Lonchura striata: one gene and its partner. The protein of the gene in region 2 interacts with the protein of the main gene of each other region in a pairwise test. Links are inferred from orthologs where the notes say so. Each region holds a gene or a part of one and is shown on either strand. Other genes may lie near its edges. The genes, in order: RPL35A and SH3GL3.

Region 1 (8,710 bases), on a different chromosome or scaffold from region 2:
CAATAAACCCCTGCCTGAGCATTAGGAATTCTCTGTTCTCCATATCTCCATATCTCCATATCTCTGCCCAACCATCTTAGCTATGATGCCTATTAGAAATCAACTAATAATTAATGATCACTGAGAAAGGGTAGTTACTAATATATTTTGAAGTGCATCTTTCTTAATACATTGTGGGAACAAAAGGATCTTTGGCATGGACTTAGGGAGGAATAGAATTAACCTGGTTTTGAGTACTTTGAAATAACCTATACATTTCTACTTTCAAAATAGCTCTGCATCTACAGAAGAACCTACATATGTTTTGCTTCCTTTTCCCCAATTCCTTCCTTATTGTCTAACAACTGAGATTTTAAAATCATAATCTTAGGAACCTCATCTTGGATCAGTAGAGTCCTTTGCACAAATTCATAACCAAGGCTTCTCAGTGATGCTGCAATATAAATATTAAAATTAGGTCACTTTTATTGTGTTTCTTCACCCAAGGGTCACGGAATAACAGAAAATATATTTGAGTTAATTTGTTTAAAACGCTGATTAAAGATACAAAACCAAGACGAAGAAAAACAAAAAGATATGATATACATCTGTTTAAGCAGTGGCACATACATGGTTGATGTCTGTCTTGTCCTCATGTGGAACTGGCATGATATATCCAAGAATTGCAAGTTGATCCACACAGTTCTCCAGCACAGCACTAAACCTCAGAGCTTCTACATGAGTGATTTTTTCCATTTGTTTAGTCTCTGTGTTCTTGCTAGGAGGAACAAAGATAAAAGATACCAATCAGAAAAATGCTGTGGTGTTATTAATGTTAGTAACAGTAGTTTAAATGAAAGGTAGACACAAAAAAGCCTTATTTGCAGCCTTACATATACTTCCCTGGCTTTGTTTATAACCTTCCATACACTGTTTATAAGAGGAGCTGTGCTCTGCTAATGGCTGCATTCAGGGACAGTGGGAATGTTTAGCTTTCACAAAACAAAGAGGTCCTGGTCCCTCCTACAGCAGGTCTGGGTAGAGAGGCTGAGAAGGGGATGGGTATGGAGGGCACAAACTGGGTGAGGTACCTCATTATTCACTTCAGGGGGAGCAGTGGCTCATCGTGGAGTTTGGGAAACAACAGAAGAAAGGTGCCTTTTTAAAATAATAATACTAAAAAATCCACATCCTATAAAATCTCAGAGGGTGAACATTCATGCTCTAATCATTCCTCAATATTACTGTGTAGCCTTCACACTTTTATGATCCCAGTCCGCTCTCAGCAGGAATTGTTACCATCTTAAGATGCTGAAAGTTAAACAAGAACCAATATCTGGACTGAATAAACAATCTTAATTTTCTGTATTATTTTATTTTAACTTGCAATTCGAACATGAAACTGCTCTGAAATACACTTAAGCACCCCTTTGCCTTGCCTACAGATGAAATATTGTGAAAGCATATCTAAGGAAAAATGAAAATTCACTATTAATCCAGAAATACCTAAGAAAACACCTGCACAACAATGGGAAAATTCTCTGAGAATTGTAATGGTTTGATATGCCATTGGACAATCCCTCCAAAGCCTGTACATACAAACCAGGTATTTCTTGTACAACATGTAGCACAACTGCAGTCTGAGGTGGTTGAGATCCTGAGTATCAACAACCACTAACAAAATCTTAATTTGGCTGCTCTACCTACAACTGGATTTGTGCCATCTGTAAAACCCTTGCATAAACATATCCTAAGCCTGCAAAATATTACAGCCCAACCTGCAAGTATGCCAAGGAAACACATCAGGCACTCCCTGTTAGCATAAGACATGGCCATATTCTATGAATATTAAAGAGGTTTGGATGCAGCTGTGCTCTGCATCACTGGAAATCAGTGATATTTCACAAGCAAGTGTTTAAAAATATACATACTTGCTATAACCTCTCTGAAGCTGTTATAATTTGCCCTCCTCCTTTTTTTTGTTGTTTTTGTTGAAGAAAATCTGTAATTTACAGTTGGACCGTGAAGTTAATTTCACTTGGCAGAAAAGAACCACTTTTCAGTGCAGGTTTATTTGATGTCTGTTCGTATAGAATAGGTAAAACAAACAAATGTAACTCAGATTCCACACATTTATTTCCTGATGTCCCTGTCTGCTGCAGGAAGTCGTTTAATGCAACACATGTTGAAATGTGCTGAGAGAGGACATGGCTCTCCCTGGGGATGGGATTAGAAAGTGCACAGGGATTGCTCCCAGTAAATCCACAGGAAGGGCAGATACCAGGGAGAGACAGAGGTATTTAAGTTAAAGGATAATACTGCTCTGGGTAAAAGGAGAGTAAACGCCCCTAAGCCAGGCAATTATGATGAGGTTTCTAACTCCTGAATGGAAAATACAGAACAGCCTTTCAGCCAAGGTAATGGTAGAGGCACCCTAATTTATTTCAAGAAGCTTGATTAAATCATGGCAGAAAAAGATAACAGCAAAGTAGTGATTCTGAATATTATCAGTATGTTCACTAGACTTGTATTGTTTGTAACCACTTACATCTAATTCCTCTGAGCAGGGCTTTTAATGGTCACCTAGAATGAAGAGGAAAGTGATTTCATCCCTTTGCTTCTGAGATTTTTTTCTCTCTTTTATCTTAATTATAAAAAAAAAGTTTAACAGCTTGAGACAGGAATCTGATAAAAGCATTAACAAAAAAAAAAAAAAAAAAGAAAGGCAAATTATCTGTATAATACACTAAATCCATCACTTTTCTTGTCAACCTTGGAATCAGCTATAGAAGTGGAGATGCAGTATTTTTACATCAAGAAAGTCAGGCAGTGTCTCCAGTCAACAGGCACTAATAAAATATTTTTCAATGCTTTACTCATTTTTATCTTTTTCAGAAATCCATAATCCATATTTTGAATCTAAACAACCTAGGAATAATCTATTACATGTGGAGTCATAAAATATAACTAGTCTGCTAAAAATATGATGAAAAAAGATGTGTTGGGAGATAGCTGTGACATGATTACAGCAGGATTTTTGGAAGAAGAAATAACATGTGCAGCTCTCATAGGAAAAAGAGACTTATTTGGAAACAAAGGAGGATGCAACAGCTTTTCCTCTTTTCTGTCAGCAGCTTCTGACCAGGAGAGAATTAACTCAGGATATTAATATGTTTCAAGAAAGCTGGCGGCTGGAATGTTTCTCTAAAGCCCCTTTGCTGCTTTGCTCCTCCTGTGTATCTTCTCTTACATTCACATCCTTGCTCAGCAGATCCCTGTGCCAAGCCAGTGGGGTCTGGGCTTATGTTAAGTTGGACTTGAGAAGGAAACCACTGTCTGGGGCATTAGCAAACACTACAGATATGAGCTGCTTGCTGTGGATTTTAGTGCCAACACAGTGCCCCTCAGACCATCCACGGCATCACCCTGCATTGCTGTGTTTGCTGAACTCCCTCATTAAACTCTATTAATAATTTTTTTTAAAGTATGTGAAGGATTCAACTTCCCCCATGAGTTTTGGATGACATTCTTTCCCTGCTGATATAAAGGGAAAGAAAAACATATCAAGTAATAATTTTTAAAGCAAGTGTATAAAAGGTCTGGTCTCCTGTTCCTTTGGGGATTGCAACTTCCTCTGCTGTGTGAGAGTCCTGGATGTACATTTCTCCCACCCTGCTGCCTGATAAAGGAAAGTGGATTCAAAAGCAGCATTTTGTGCAGCATTCCTTGTAGTCAGAAGATACTTCATTGAATTCCAGTGATAAAATGCATAGCTGGCAATGTCACATCTCCTTTAGGTCTGTTTGGCAAATGACTGGCGAAGAGAGGTTCTGAATATCCACAGGAGCAGCAGCGGAGCCAGAAATCAACTTCATTTTTACCAAAGAAAAGTCTCTTGGGAAGCAAAATAGGTGTGGCCTTACCTTACACAGCTCTGCCTCCGGCTAGAAATATTAGGACAGCAAGGTGCTCATTTTGGAAAAAAAAAAAAAAAAGCGGGGGGGGGGGGGGAAGGGCAAGGAAAGGAGAGAGGAAGGGGAAGGGAAAGAAAGGGATGAAAAGAGAAGGAAAGGGAAAGGGAAAGGGAAAGGGAAAGGGAAAGGGAAAGGGAAAGGGAAAGGGAAAGGGAAAGGGAAAGGGACCACCAAGATTCCTTAAGGTTTCCCTTCCCTTCACCTTCCTTCCCTTAAATCACTTCAAGCGCTCTGAAAATGCACCAGAATTTCTGGCAGTGTGAGGGAAGTGACAGAAATCGGGATTGAATAGCCCTGACGTGAGCAAATGGGTAAGTACATGCTTCCAGATCTTATTTAGTAAAATAAAGGAATGTGAGACTTGGTTACAGGGATTTCAGTGTCGAAATATGTTTTCTGCCTCCAAGGCGATATCAGAAGTAAACTAAATGCCGAGATGATTAATTGACTCAGGGTGAGAACATCGGACGGGCAGGGCCGGCCGGGAGCCGCCCCGAGCACCAAGGGCTGCTCTCTCCTCCCGCGCTGCCTCTCTTCGGGCTCCGCGGCCCGTTTTCATTCGCCCTGCCTAGACCGACCCGGGCTCCCCTCAACCTCTCACCGGGATCTGCCCTTATTTCCCCCGATCCCGGTCCCGATCCCGGTCCCGGTCCCGATCCCGGTCCCGATCCCGATCCCGATCCCGGTCCCGATCCCGGTCCCGGTCCCGGTCCCGATCCCGGTCCCGATCCCGATCCCGGTCCCGGTCTCGGTCTCGGCCCCGCCCTCACCGGGACGCGCCGCTCGTCTCCATGGCAACCACCGCGCTCGGGGCCTCGCGGGGATGGCCCGCGGGTGCCTGTGCAGCGGGGCTGTGGCCGCCCCTCCTGGGATCGCTCTTGCGGGGATCGCGGACACGGGACACGGGACACGGGACAGGGGACACGGACAGGGGCCGGGCGGTACCTTCCTCAACCCGGTGCCGCTCACTCCGGCAGCGCTCGGGCCGCCCGCTCGGGTCCTGGCCGCGCATTTCCCGGCAGGCAGCGGGGCGCGGCTCTCTTTCGCCGCCATCTTGGGGCGCTGGGGGTGAGGCGGAGCGGGGCCGCGGCCGGGAGCGGGGCCGGGAGCAGGGCCGGGGGCGGTGCCCCCGCCGTAGGGCCGCCGGCGGGCGCGGGGCTCCCGGGGCGCGGCGGACGGCGCGGTTTGGGGCGGGGACAAGGCGGGATGGCGCCGATGCGCGGCGGATGGTCCCAGTGGCGGGTTGGGGCCCTGGGCTGGAGCGGGGCTGAGGCGGCTGCTGAGGTGCGGAGCGGAGGCTGCCGGGCAGCCCCCGGGTGCTCGGGGTCTCGCTGGCCGGGCCGGGTGGAGATGCCGGCCCGCGGCTCACGGCTGTGTGTCGTTTCCAGGCCTGCCGGGACCGGCTCTGCGGGAGGACGCCATGGCCGGGAGGTGAGTGAGGGCCGGGCTGGCGCTCGGCTCGCTGCTGCAGCGCTGTAGGAGCGTTCCTGGGAGCGTTTGCTCAGCAGGGCAGTGAGCGGTGTTGCGCTGCCCAGCGTCCTGCTGGGCCCTGTGGAACGCCCGCAGTTGTGTGTCCCTGCTCTGAAATCTCTTGAGCTGGTTCTAGTTGCTGTTACGGTGTGCCACGCTCTCCTTGGCCTGTCAGTAAATATCAGTGTGAAATTTGTGGGTTTGTTAGCTCAGTGTTTGTTAATCTCCAGTGTGCAGTGGAGCTTTGACATAAACTGTTTCCTTGAGTAAAGGGAGCAACATGTTTTTCCCATGGGTAAATTTTCTGTTGTGCTGCCGAATTTTCTTAAAGGATGTAGGGATTGAGTTCGTAAGTGAAGGGATTAAATGTGAATACTGTGGAGTTGCCTGGAGAAGCTGTGGCTGCCCCATCCCTGGAAGTGTTCAAGGTCGAGCTGGGTGGGACTCTTGAGCCTGATCTAGCGTGAGGTGTTCCTGCCTATGTAGGAGAGTCAAAACTGGATGGTCTTAAATGTCCCTTCCAACCCAAACCCTTCGATGGTTCTGTGAATCCCAGCTTTATGTCCTAACATTAATGTGTGGAGTTTGTCCTGTTGCACGTGTGGCAGGTAGAACTGGATATCCCAGTTGGATCCTGCTGTATCCCAGAGCAGGTGCTGGATGCCCCTGGGCCAGATGTGCTGTGGCTGCTCGGTGTGTGGGACAGGTCCTGTAATGACCTTACATGGGCAGTGCAGGTGTCCTGAAGAATTGCTGAGGAGTTTGTGTAATGTCTGTGCCCAGTGGATGTCAGGCTGTTGCTCTGGCTCCTCCTTTGAGGCTACAAATCAGGGTCAGTTCATACCTTCTATAGCAGTTACTGCAACACGGGAGATTTCATGTGGTGTGTAGAAAAAAAAGTAATGTTTACTCATCAGTGTTAGTAGACATTTAGAAATAATATCTGCTAATGCTGGAGTATTTGAATCTTAGTATGAAGCCAGTATTGTAGTGCCAGGAGTTTATGACAAGCAAAAAGTGTAATATTTTCATAAATACTTCAAGTTCCACATACTCAGCTTTGCTCTGTTCATTGATGTAAGTATTTGCAGTGATTTGTAAAAGTCAGCTATTTCCTCTGCTGATTTCTACTGGTGTGGAATTAGTTCCTGCTGAAAGAGCCTGTGATTAGTTTTTATTTTTGTTATTTGGAAGTGAGTTATAATTTTCAGGTATTTTCCATGTCTTTAGGTTGTGGTGCAAGGCCATTTTTGCTGGCTACAAACGTGGCCTCCGAAACCAGCGGGAGCACACGGCCCTTCTGAAAATTGAAGGTGTTTATGCCCGTCAGGAGACAGACTTCTACCTGGGCAAGAGGTGTGCCTATGTGTACAAAGCTAAAAAGTAAGTAATGTTGTATTCTTGTGCTGAACTAGCCAATGCTTGTGTTGGTTTTGTAAATGCTAGGAGATCATGATGCTACATGATATGTAAGAGAGCAAATGGGATGAGAAACAAGTTTTGCCTAAGACTGACAAAAACTGAAAGTTGGGTGATGGAGTAAATTGAAGTGGGTGAATTTGTGTTAAATACTTTGAACTGTTCAGTTACTTAAACAGTAGAGTGATTTTGTGAAGCCTGGGTGAATTTGTGTTCTGACTTTCATGTGCCCATGTTTGAGCACTGTCTGTCACTTCTGCTCTGCTGTCATTGATAGACACCTTGGGAACAGCTGCTTATTGCTTCCACTTCCTTTTTTTTTCTTGACTGCTGTTGTTAGTGTGCAGAATTATCTTGAATAAAATTGATCAAACTGGTATGTTAGCAAAAGTGTTTTCCAAATTTTTGAGCTTTGTAAGCTGTTAATAGTTGTCAAGCTGTAATTACACCTTTGAAAGGTACAGTGAAAATCCCAGGCTGGGAAAATATCACAAGTAAAAAAAAGTGGACATTGGTCTAGTTAAAGATGGCTGTGGAGCTAAATTATTGAAGTGCTGTAGAGAGACCACATTGTCAGTGCTGGGTACAGCAGAGCTGTGACTGCCCTGCTGAGCTGTTCTTGGGCTCCTTTTCCCCAGCAACACGGTAACCCCCGGAGGCAAACCCAACAGGACACGCGTGATCTGGGGGAAGGTGACCCGCGCGCATGGCAACAGTGGCATGGTGCGTGCCAAGTTCCGCTCCAACCTGCCTGCCAAGGCCATTGGACACAGAATCCGGGTGGTAAGTGGGTTTGGTTTAGCAACAAGATACTTATTGGCAGTTTTTGGGTGCCTTCTAAATTCCTTATAATATGAGGGAACATTTGAACTTTGCTTTTGTTCTGTTGCTGTTGGGTGTTCAGCATGGCTCAGTGACTTTGTTTTGGAGCCTAGAGAGGCTTTTTGCTGCCTTCCTGTGCTGAGGGGGTTTGTCTTGTTATCAGGGGTTTGTGTGCTTGCTCAGGTTGTGTGGAAAGGCTCTTAAAGTTCCAGGACTCGGCTCCTGTCTAAAGCTGCCTTGATTTCTTTTCCACCATCTGTTCTGCATATTTTTGCACCCTTCTACTCCTTTACCTGTTTGATTTTTCTCTTACTTCCCAAATGTTTTAACTGAGAGCAGTGCTGTCCTGTCATGGCCACTTCCACCTGTTCCCACTGTTGGTGTTTTAGCCACAGGGCTTCAGTGGGACTATCCGTTTAGGTCTCTCACCTAGAGTTGTGATGTAATATTTTCGTAGTGATGTTGTCAAAAGGAATACAAGAGGGGTGTGGTCCTTTCTGTCTTTCTCCTGTGCCTTAGAAAAAGCACAGTAGGAGCAGCACAGATAATTCCTGAAATCCAGAGCCATGGGAACTCTTGTTGGTGCACAGGAGGGCTAGTTGCCATGGTGTCTGTGTCACCAGTGAAGTGCTCCTGCAAGTCATTCTCACACCTCTTCTGTATAAACTGGGGATTGCTTTAATAGCAGTTGAAGAGATTCATGGTCTAGATTGTAACTGCAAAACTCATGTTTGAATACAAGATTTCTAACGTGATTCTGTCTGGTTTTGTGTTTTACAGATGCTGTATCCATCTAGGATCTAAATTTTTATTCAAAATAAAATGGAGACTCTGTTTAACTTTTGTATATTTCTGGTTTGATTGCCTCCACAAATTTTGAGAGACCTCTTTCTCAGTAGTATCAGAGTTGACAGCACAGACAGAGACACTAAATCCTGGCAGGTGCAAAGCCTCTCTCACATCAGTAGTTCTGGTAGAATCCCTGATAATGACCCCACCTGTACCTGGCCAGCACGTGTGCCTGTAGCGTCTGCTTTGTGTAAATA
Region 2 (8,801 bases):
CTACATCAAAAGCCTTCAAACCGAAAACAGAAAAACAGCTCCGATCTGGCAGAGCCTGAAAGCAACAGGACACAAACTCTCACTGCAAACAAAACTTCACTAAACTTTATTTTTAAAAATAATAATTTTTTTAAAAGCTGAATTTCATGGGAGGTGCACATTAATCAGCCCTCAGAAAAAGCCTGCCCTTGCTTATCAGCCATTGAGAGGTGGTAAGACACTTCATAGGTTCTTCTTCGGATTTCATGAGTTAAATGAGTTATACTCAAGGAATCATCATTGATATTTAACTAAGAGAATGGAAGAGATTCTCACTGAAGTACACTTTCAATTGAAGAACTTTAATATAAACTTACAACTGAAGTAGAAGGCATAGTAAAGAAAATTCTAAGAACACGAAGGGCGTTATCACTTCATAACAGACACAGAAACTTTGAGATCCATCTCAGCTTTGGGTCTGTCCATTCCATGACACCAGGGCAAGCAATTATTAGGGGACAGATAATGGAGTAGCACTGCAGCTTTATATATTGGAATATACAGAAAAACAGCACAAACTCTACTCCCTCTGGGTACAGACCTCACTGCAGTAAATTTTGACACTGTAACCCAAGAGCTGTCTTCTAGATCTCACTGCCTGGCACTAGATCTAGATCTTTAACTAGAACATGCAATTTTCAGTGGAAAAAAAATACAACCGGTTAAGAAACTCTAGGGGAACACCATCCGAACCATCCAGAAATTCCAGTGAATTACTGAATTACAAACAGACAGACCCATGGTGACTTTTTACTACACCAGCCATGTTTGCAATAGCTTGTCGTGCCTGATTTTGGCAAGGGCATTAGTAACCATACAAAGTTAGCTGCTGACCTTTAATAAAGCAAACACTCATTTACTTAAGTGTAACTTCAGACAAACCAAGCTGACAAGGATCAGGCAAACATCCCAGAAACCTCAACTGCATATAAAATCGTAAGTAATTTTTGTTTTCCTGGACTCCTGCACTTAGAATTTAAGCCTACACACAAAGGTAATCACCCCTAGTCAACAAAAGCTTTACATAAAGACACACAGGCTTTTTACAAGCACAAAACTGAAATGAAGTTTTTTGCAAAAAAGTTCAGTGGTTCAGTAAGAGCAAGCAGAATTTAGAATAACTCTATTTTTTTTTACTTTTATAACTATGTATCTATACTACTCTATATTTCATTAAAATAGTAATTTCCATTTAACAGAAGTCTATTTTAGCATGGAAATAATATATATGGATCTTGTCATTTTTTGGATATTTATTCATATTTCTGAATGAACTATTAAATACAGACTGTCTGAATACACTTGCAGATTTTTTATCCTTAGGTTCTGTCAGCTTTCAGATATTATTCTTATTCCTTAATCACGTGTCCTGACAGTAGTCTCATTCCCTCCAGTATTCCTCAATGTCCTCTGGGACATTTGCCAGTTTTTGTCATCTGCCCCCATTCTCTTTTGGGAACACTAAAGGAATTAATTTCATTCTTTCTCCAAGCAATGCCTGTCTCTGCTGCTAACAGTTACCATTGGCATCTTTCATCCACTCAATACACAAAGGTCTCTGTCTCCTTAAGTGAGCCCACAGTACTTGGAAATTTAACAAATCTTCTGTAGAGAAATACCTCTCATGCTCTGCATTTGCTTGTTTTAGCATTTTGTAAAATAATTCTTCTAAAAGATGGAATCCCAATATTTCCATTTTTCATGTCCCACCTTATTTTTGTTAGTTCAACAAGTTAATACATCTAGGCATGACTGTGTCTCTGTGTGCCAGAGATAAGCACTTTCATTGTTTAGACATGGCTGTTTTGATCCACTACATATATATGCTATTTGTTATTTTCTCACTACTATTTTGCCCAACATCTTATCTGAATTATTACAGAATGAGCTTTTAAGAACTGTCTTCTATTACCTTATGTACCAAAAAAAATTCCAGTATCTCATTCCTCAACTTTAATTTTCTAGTAAACACATTTCCATAACTACAGACTTTTTCAATCAATTGACTTAAAATTTCTTCCTCAGTTCATTTGAAAATAAGTTGAAACTTTTACCTTTGACCCATCCCGAGAAGAAAAACATTTTTATGAGTTATGCATTGCAGTTTCTTACTGCATTAAATATTGGAAGTCATACCACAACTTTCCAATAGATGCAGTCAAATTCAATATATTCTACATCTCCTTTCTGCCATTACTACTACCTTTATCAGATCCCACCCATCCTTTTGTTTGTTTACCTGACATCTGAGCAGGATTAAGTAACCTGCACTGTTACCAGTTGCTAGACAAGAGGGTTCTTCCTGTGGTTACCTCTCAAACTTCCTCACTGAAGTATCTTCAGCTTCCTGAGTTACAAGCTCACTACAGCAAAGGCTGCACCACTTACCAGCATCTGATATGATGCAAAACAAGGCAAAATCTTTAATAAATTGTCCTTGGATTTGTTTACTCTACAGGTCCAGCATTTTCTCAAAGTAACAGTGAAAATTAACTAAAAGATACCAATTCACAACATTTTTCAGGATCAGTACATTCCTTGAAAGAGAGCACACTACTGAAACATTAGATAAAAATATTTAGCATCTCTGTATCCAAATAAAGTGCAGATTCTGCACTTGGGCTGCTGACAAGCTACATAGCTGAAGGAAGACCTAGCAAGATGACAGCCAAGCACTCAATGAATCTTTATTTTCCTCACTCTCACCAAGACAAAAGCAGCTGTAAGATTTTACTGAACAGGTTACAGCCACTAATTTCAATATTACCATTATCATTAATGACAACCAGCAGATATACAGATCTCTTTGATATGGAATGAGCAAGCAAAGCAGCTGAGACTTCCAAAAACCTTGAGTGGAAGAATCCCACTGCAGCCATGTCCTGAAGCCCCTGCATCAATGCAGGGTTTGCAACTGGCACCATCCTGCCATGGAATCCAACCAGAGCTCCTGCTTGGCAGAAAGGTGCTTCTCTCTTAAAAGAAACGAGGTAAACTATTAAAGCAAAGCACATATAAAAGAGAAAAGAGATAAAGAGGTCAGAAGAAGATGAAGAGCCACTCTAGAGAAGAGTACAGCATCTAGAAAAGGAGGGAAAACTCTAGAAACATCTGATACCCTCTACAGGACAAATACATGACATTCCAGGTAGGATAATAAACCAGCAATTCGTGGCAGATCAAAACAATGAACCCTTTAGGGGAAAGCTGCTACTATACAGGCTGTAGCTTTAACTGAGGCCTCAAAACACGAACACGAACCCATCACCAAATAACAAATGTTAATAAGTAAAGGAAAGACCTGAAGCCCCAAGCAAAATAACTGGACGGGGCAAGCTTCTCCTGTGAGAAGAGCACAGGCAGCTGACAGGCAAAAGCACAGGCTCCGGGCCCGGAGGTAACGCTGGAGGAAACACTCCCCGGAGGTGCCAGGGCGATGCTGCCACAGACGGAGGAGGGACCCGCCGCCCGTGCGGGAGCGGGCGCCGGGCGAACCGCCCATCAGCAGCCAAGCCCGCCGGGCCCCGCCGCGGCCCCGTACCTGGCTGGCTTTGTGGAACTGCTTCTTGAGCCCCGCCACCGACATGGTCCCGCCGCCGCTGCCCCGCGGCCGCCCGGGCCCAGGGCCGCCCGCGCCCGGCAGCTCCGCGCGCCCGGCCCCGCGCAGCGCCGCCCGCGCGCCGCCAGCATCGCCCTCCGCGCGCCCGGCCGCCGCCGCCCCATTGGCCGCCGCCCGGCCACATGCAAATGAAGCGGCAGCGCCGCCCGCCCATTGGCCGCTCGCCGGGCTATGCAAATGAGGCGCTGGGAGACGCCCACGCTGCGCTGTCGCATGGAGACAGCGGCGGGAGCCGGGCGGGGGCTGCGCCGGCCCGGCGAGGGCACGGCGGCGGCGGGGAGCACCACAGGGCACCACAGGGCACCACAGGGCACCACAGAGCATCACAGAGCACCCCTCCTGCGAGCAGCATCTCCTGGGCATCCACAGGGCACCACAGAGCACCACAGAGCATCACAGAGCACCCCTCCTGCGGGCAGCATCTCCTGGGCATCCACAGAGTACCCACAGAGTACCCACAGAGCACCACAAAGCACCACAGAGCACCCACAGAGCACCACAGAGCACCCACAGAGCACCACAGAGCACCCACAAAGCACCACAGAGCACCCCTCCTGCGGGGAGCATCTCCTGGGCACCCATAGCGCACCCACAGCACTCTGCCACGGGGAGCACCGCCTGGGTACCCACAGGGCACCCGCTGGTGGGGCGCACAGCCCAGGCACCAAAAGGCCAGTCAGCTGCCCAGTTTTATCTGTCTTATTTTGAATAAGGCTGAAAATGTCTCATTATGGATCTGTCTCATTTCTTGTGGTTCAACGTAGCATCTCTGAGCTCATTAACCTCAGATCCATTATTGTAGGTGGTAATTTAATTATAGCTCTTGAAACATGAAAGCTCTTGCAGCAGTCCAGAACACACCTGGCTGGTTCTATGCACCAGAAAATATCCACTTTGTCGTGTGACTCCATACCGGCAGTGATGCTGCTCAGGGTTCCAAAGGCACAGTCTCTCACTCAGAAGAGCAGATAGACTAGAAAGAGCTCTGCTGAAAGGATGTTTTAGCTGTTTGGTTGGTTGTTATGTGAGGGATTTACAGATTATATACTGAAATATGACTGTGTATCAGGAATGTGCTGATATAAATTAGAGATGTGGTTCTGCCCTCATGGTAGAGCAATTTCAAGCGATGCTTACATTCTGGGGAAGATAAGCTCTGTGATAATGCTGCTTGATCCTGGCTGTAAGGATACTTGGGAGTTATGATTCAGCTGAAACTTACGCAGGGACCTGGGGAGCAGTTCAGAGATAAGCTTTGCTGGCTGCAGCAGGACTCTGTGTTACTCACTGTCATGCTCACTGCATTTTGATTGGGTTAGGAGAGAAAAACATTTTCAGAATATGATAGAGTTGCTTCTTTAGAATAGCAAAGAAAAAAAAATACAAGAACTTTCATACTGGTTGTCACACTGTAATTTGGGAGAAAGAAATTGCTATTCCCACCTCTTAGAAAAAATCATTATATTACTAAGGAACAAAGTGCAAAGACAAACACATTAATGAGTTAAGGATCTGGCTGTTACTTGACAAAGGACTCTCTGTAGAGGAGAGGCAGAAGAGAAAGCAAAGAGGAGAGCACCAGTCAACATTTGCTCTGGAAGACAAACTGTTAGGTGAAGTTCTTCAGGGATTTGGAAATGTTCGAAAGAAGCCTGGCATCACCATGTTATCTGGTGCCACCTGTGTCTAGGGAAAGAGCATTTTTGTCATCCTTACAAGTAAACATGATTACACCACAGACACTTGATTTCAGCAGTTGTTTCTCCTCCCTGATTGAAACTGGCAGCAAGATGTTAACTGTCAGGGCCAAATTAGTTATGGCTTAAATTAGTGACATGTTTTAGACACCTCAGGTGAGGAAATAAGGCCTAAACTAGGATATTGGAGCTCCATAAAAGGAATTAAAGCAAGCTCTTAGTGTACTATGGAATTAGGGAGACAAGGCAGCTTTGGCTAATCTTCAGCTTTAGGAACAGCTGGACCAGAGCAAAGAAGGAAGGAGTTTGAAATAAATCTCTGTGGAGGGGAATGAATGGATTATGGAGTTGCTGTGGGTGTTAGCTGTAAAATTGGATTAGATAAAGAACTTTAGTAAGGCTGCATGTCTACAACTTCTCTTTTTAAAAAAAAAATCCTTTTTGTAGCCCAAGGATAGCAGCCATGTTGTCTGATGAAGGGGTACAAAAATTTGCAAGTGGGAATTTCACGCCATAGCCTAATTGCTCAGTGATACAGACAAGGTGAAAACCTATTTAATGAGCCAACTTGTGTAGTCAACTGATGACTTGGTGGAGGCACCCTGAAATACACTGGTATTCAGTTCAGTAACAAGTAAAAGTTATAGCTTGTAGCCAGCAATACACAGTGGCTAAGGAATGTCTAGAATGTCATAGTTTTACCACATGGAAAAAAAAAGTATTGCAATTTGCTGAATGATAATCCTTAAGATTTATGCAAAGTTAGTGATTTAGTCTATAAAATAAGAGAAATGAGAAATACTACAAAAAAACTTGGCAAATGGTTCAGGTAAATGCTGACATGATGGAAAAAAAGCTTATAATAAAGTTGTTAGAAGACAGGCTAGGGCAGAGTGAAAAATACTTCACAGAGGGGACCTTCAGGGAAAAAGTTCTAGATGTCTGGGTATTCAAGCAACAATTACACTTCCACTACTCTGGAAACATTAAAGTGCATGAGAGGAATTCATAATGGCTCCAACATGTTACTGAATCATGTGTGCTAAAATGGACAATGAAATTTGCACAAACTGAGAACTCCTAATTGGGCTCAGATCAAGGTAGTGACTAGAAAATATGCACTGCCTGCTCACATGGGACAACCGTGCTTGAAAATTGGTCTGGTGAAATTTAAACAGGAGAGAATATTGAATAAAAGGTTAAATTTATAATACACTTGCATTTCAGTGTGGCTGATACTATGGGAAAAACACTATCATCAGAAATTCAATCTATAGATATGACAAAAAATCTCATAGGTGATTTGTTTTCAATGAACAAATCATCTTGTAAGAGCTGAAATTGCAGTAGCAGCCACATGAAGTATTAGGTTTCCAGCAAAATGGAAACTAGAGGTACTTTTTTAAATTATATAGAGGCACCTTAGCATTTGAATTTACTTGGAATTTGATGCCAACTACATTCACATTCATTTGAATGTCTCTTAAAAATAATGAAAACTGCCATTGAAATATAATCTGGGTCTTTGGTGGTTACTGCCATAAAAGAAAACAACAAAAAAGGGAGGAAAGATGAGTTTGCAATGAAATTCTATTGTATTTGATTCTGGGCCATGCTGACTACATTATTAAAGCTTTTTTTCTTTTTTAATATTTAGGCCTTAAGGAAAAGATAAATTACTGTGTATCAGCTTATCATGAAATACATTTCAACACAAGGCATTAGAAGGAGACTTTGGATGTACTCACCTGATCCAGGGCAAGAGCAACTACAAACAACAGTGATCAAGACTCTCAGACGTGGTGTGATATCCATTAATGGTCTGTAAGGATTATCTGTATGTAATGACAGTGCAGATTACCTAGTTAGTTTTCATGTTGTCAAAACTGTAGCAATAGGCTGTGGTTTTGGTCACAGGAAGAGAGCATACTTGCAAATTGTTTAGAAAACAAGCATTTGGAAAAGATGATCCTCTAGGAAAATGATGCCATTTGAAAGAACAGTTGGCCAATAACCCACTCTACAAAAGCAAACTTGTAGAAAGCCTTCAAAATAAAGCACTAGTTTGACAATTCTAGAAAAAGGAAGGGATTGCTAAACTCGTGACACTGATTCTTAAGTTTTGACCCAAGCAAAAGAAGTAATATAAAACAGTGTTCCAGAGTGAGTTCCAAAGGACTAGAACACTTGGTGAAATCAGTCCCAAATGTCATCCATTTCATTATTTTATAGATTTCATACAACAAACTTGGGAGCTGACACTGTGAAAGCAATGCCAACAGCAAATGATCCCAGTAACAAGAACAGAAAATCCTTCTGCAAAATATGCCCGGGATGGTAAGGTTAAATCATGTGGCTGTTTTAGCAGCCTTTCTATATATTTAAATGAAATAATTATTTATAATTAAACAAAAAGATATATAATTGGTCACACACCAACATTACACTTTTGTTTCTAGAACATAACCAAGCAATTCTGCAGATCAGCGCATTCTGCGCAGATCAACTGGCTCAGGTATTTCTGAAAGGGCTTTACATTGCAGTATACATTTCATAAGAAATCATGAGAAACGGAAAAGAACAGACAGTTTTCCCTCCACAGCCAGCACTGGCCAGCATTTGGAAAGCTCCTCATTCCAAAGGGATGCTGCTGGCAGTTAGAGCAGGAATATGTGACCCTGGGGCCAGCAGACACTCTGGCTAACCTACTGCAGTTGTTTAGGATGCTTATGTTTGCTCCCCAGATCTTCTAACTAAATGTAACTAGTGAATTATTTTTGGCATATGTGACTGTTCTTCTCAAGCTGACTTTCCATATGTGTTGCTTTACCATTATGCAGATCCTCGCTTTTCTTGTCTCCTTCCTGTGTTTTTATTCCACATGCTTCTCCGTAATACTGCACATACCTTCTGTCATCACTTTGCTAAATCTCTGGCTGTTGTTCTGCAAGTGTCAATAACAAAACAAAAGTGTGTTAGGTCTTATGCCATTAATAAAGATCATTCTAATTATGTGTTTATTTTACAAAGACATATAAATGATTCAGGTAAGTTCAAGATCTAGATAGAGATTTTTTTAAAGTTACATATGTCCATACCATAAGTAGATACTCTAATTTTAAAAACTCAGCAACCTACATTTTTGTGTATGGAGCTCTGTCATTCTGAAGTTTCTGAAAATTAGCAGTCCTAATCTTGCAAATTACACCATGTGGATGGACTCCTAGACAGCTCCAACTTGGAGATCTTGTTACTTTTAGGTGCCTATGTTGTTGCTGGCATCACTAAAACAATAAAGGTTTTGTAATTAACATATACCTGGGCACTCAGTGCTCTCAGACAAGCAGCTAGACTGCTCACCAAAAATTAGCTATGTGTGTAAATTGAAGTAAAGATGTGGCTGTCCAAAATTACTCCACAGTGGAGACAAAACTGAAAATATTGGA

The links.
Region 1: the proteins of SH3GL3 (region 2) and RPL35A interact in a two-hybrid assay, tested with the Homo sapiens proteins (2 studies listed by BioGRID and IntAct). The link is inferred for Lonchura striata from reciprocal best matches to the Homo sapiens genes SH3GL3 and RPL35A.

Annotation. Positions count from the first base shown.
Region 1 is NC_134612.1:17,892,750-17,901,459, forward strand, and holds RPL35A (large ribosomal subunit protein eL33), read left to right. Parts: upstream 1-4,949; 5' UTR 4,950-5,021; intron 5,022-5,341; 5' UTR 5,342-5,373; coding exon 5,374-5,384; intron 5,385-6,653; coding exon 6,654-6,806; intron 6,807-7,480; coding exon 7,481-7,625; intron 7,626-8,444; coding exon 8,445-8,468; 3' UTR 8,469-8,503; downstream 8,504-8,710. Other genes in the region: DRC9 (dynein regulatory complex protein 9), read right to left, coding at 610-757, 4,724-4,746.
Region 2 is NC_134613.1:15,166,982-15,175,782, reverse strand, and holds the start of SH3GL3 (endophilin-A3), read right to left. Parts: upstream 3,688-8,801; 5' UTR 3,626-3,687; coding exon 3,581-3,625; intron 3,536-3,580; exon of another isoform or gene 3,341-3,535; intron 1-3,340. UniProt on the Homo sapiens protein: Implicated in endocytosis. May recruit other proteins to membranes with high curvature.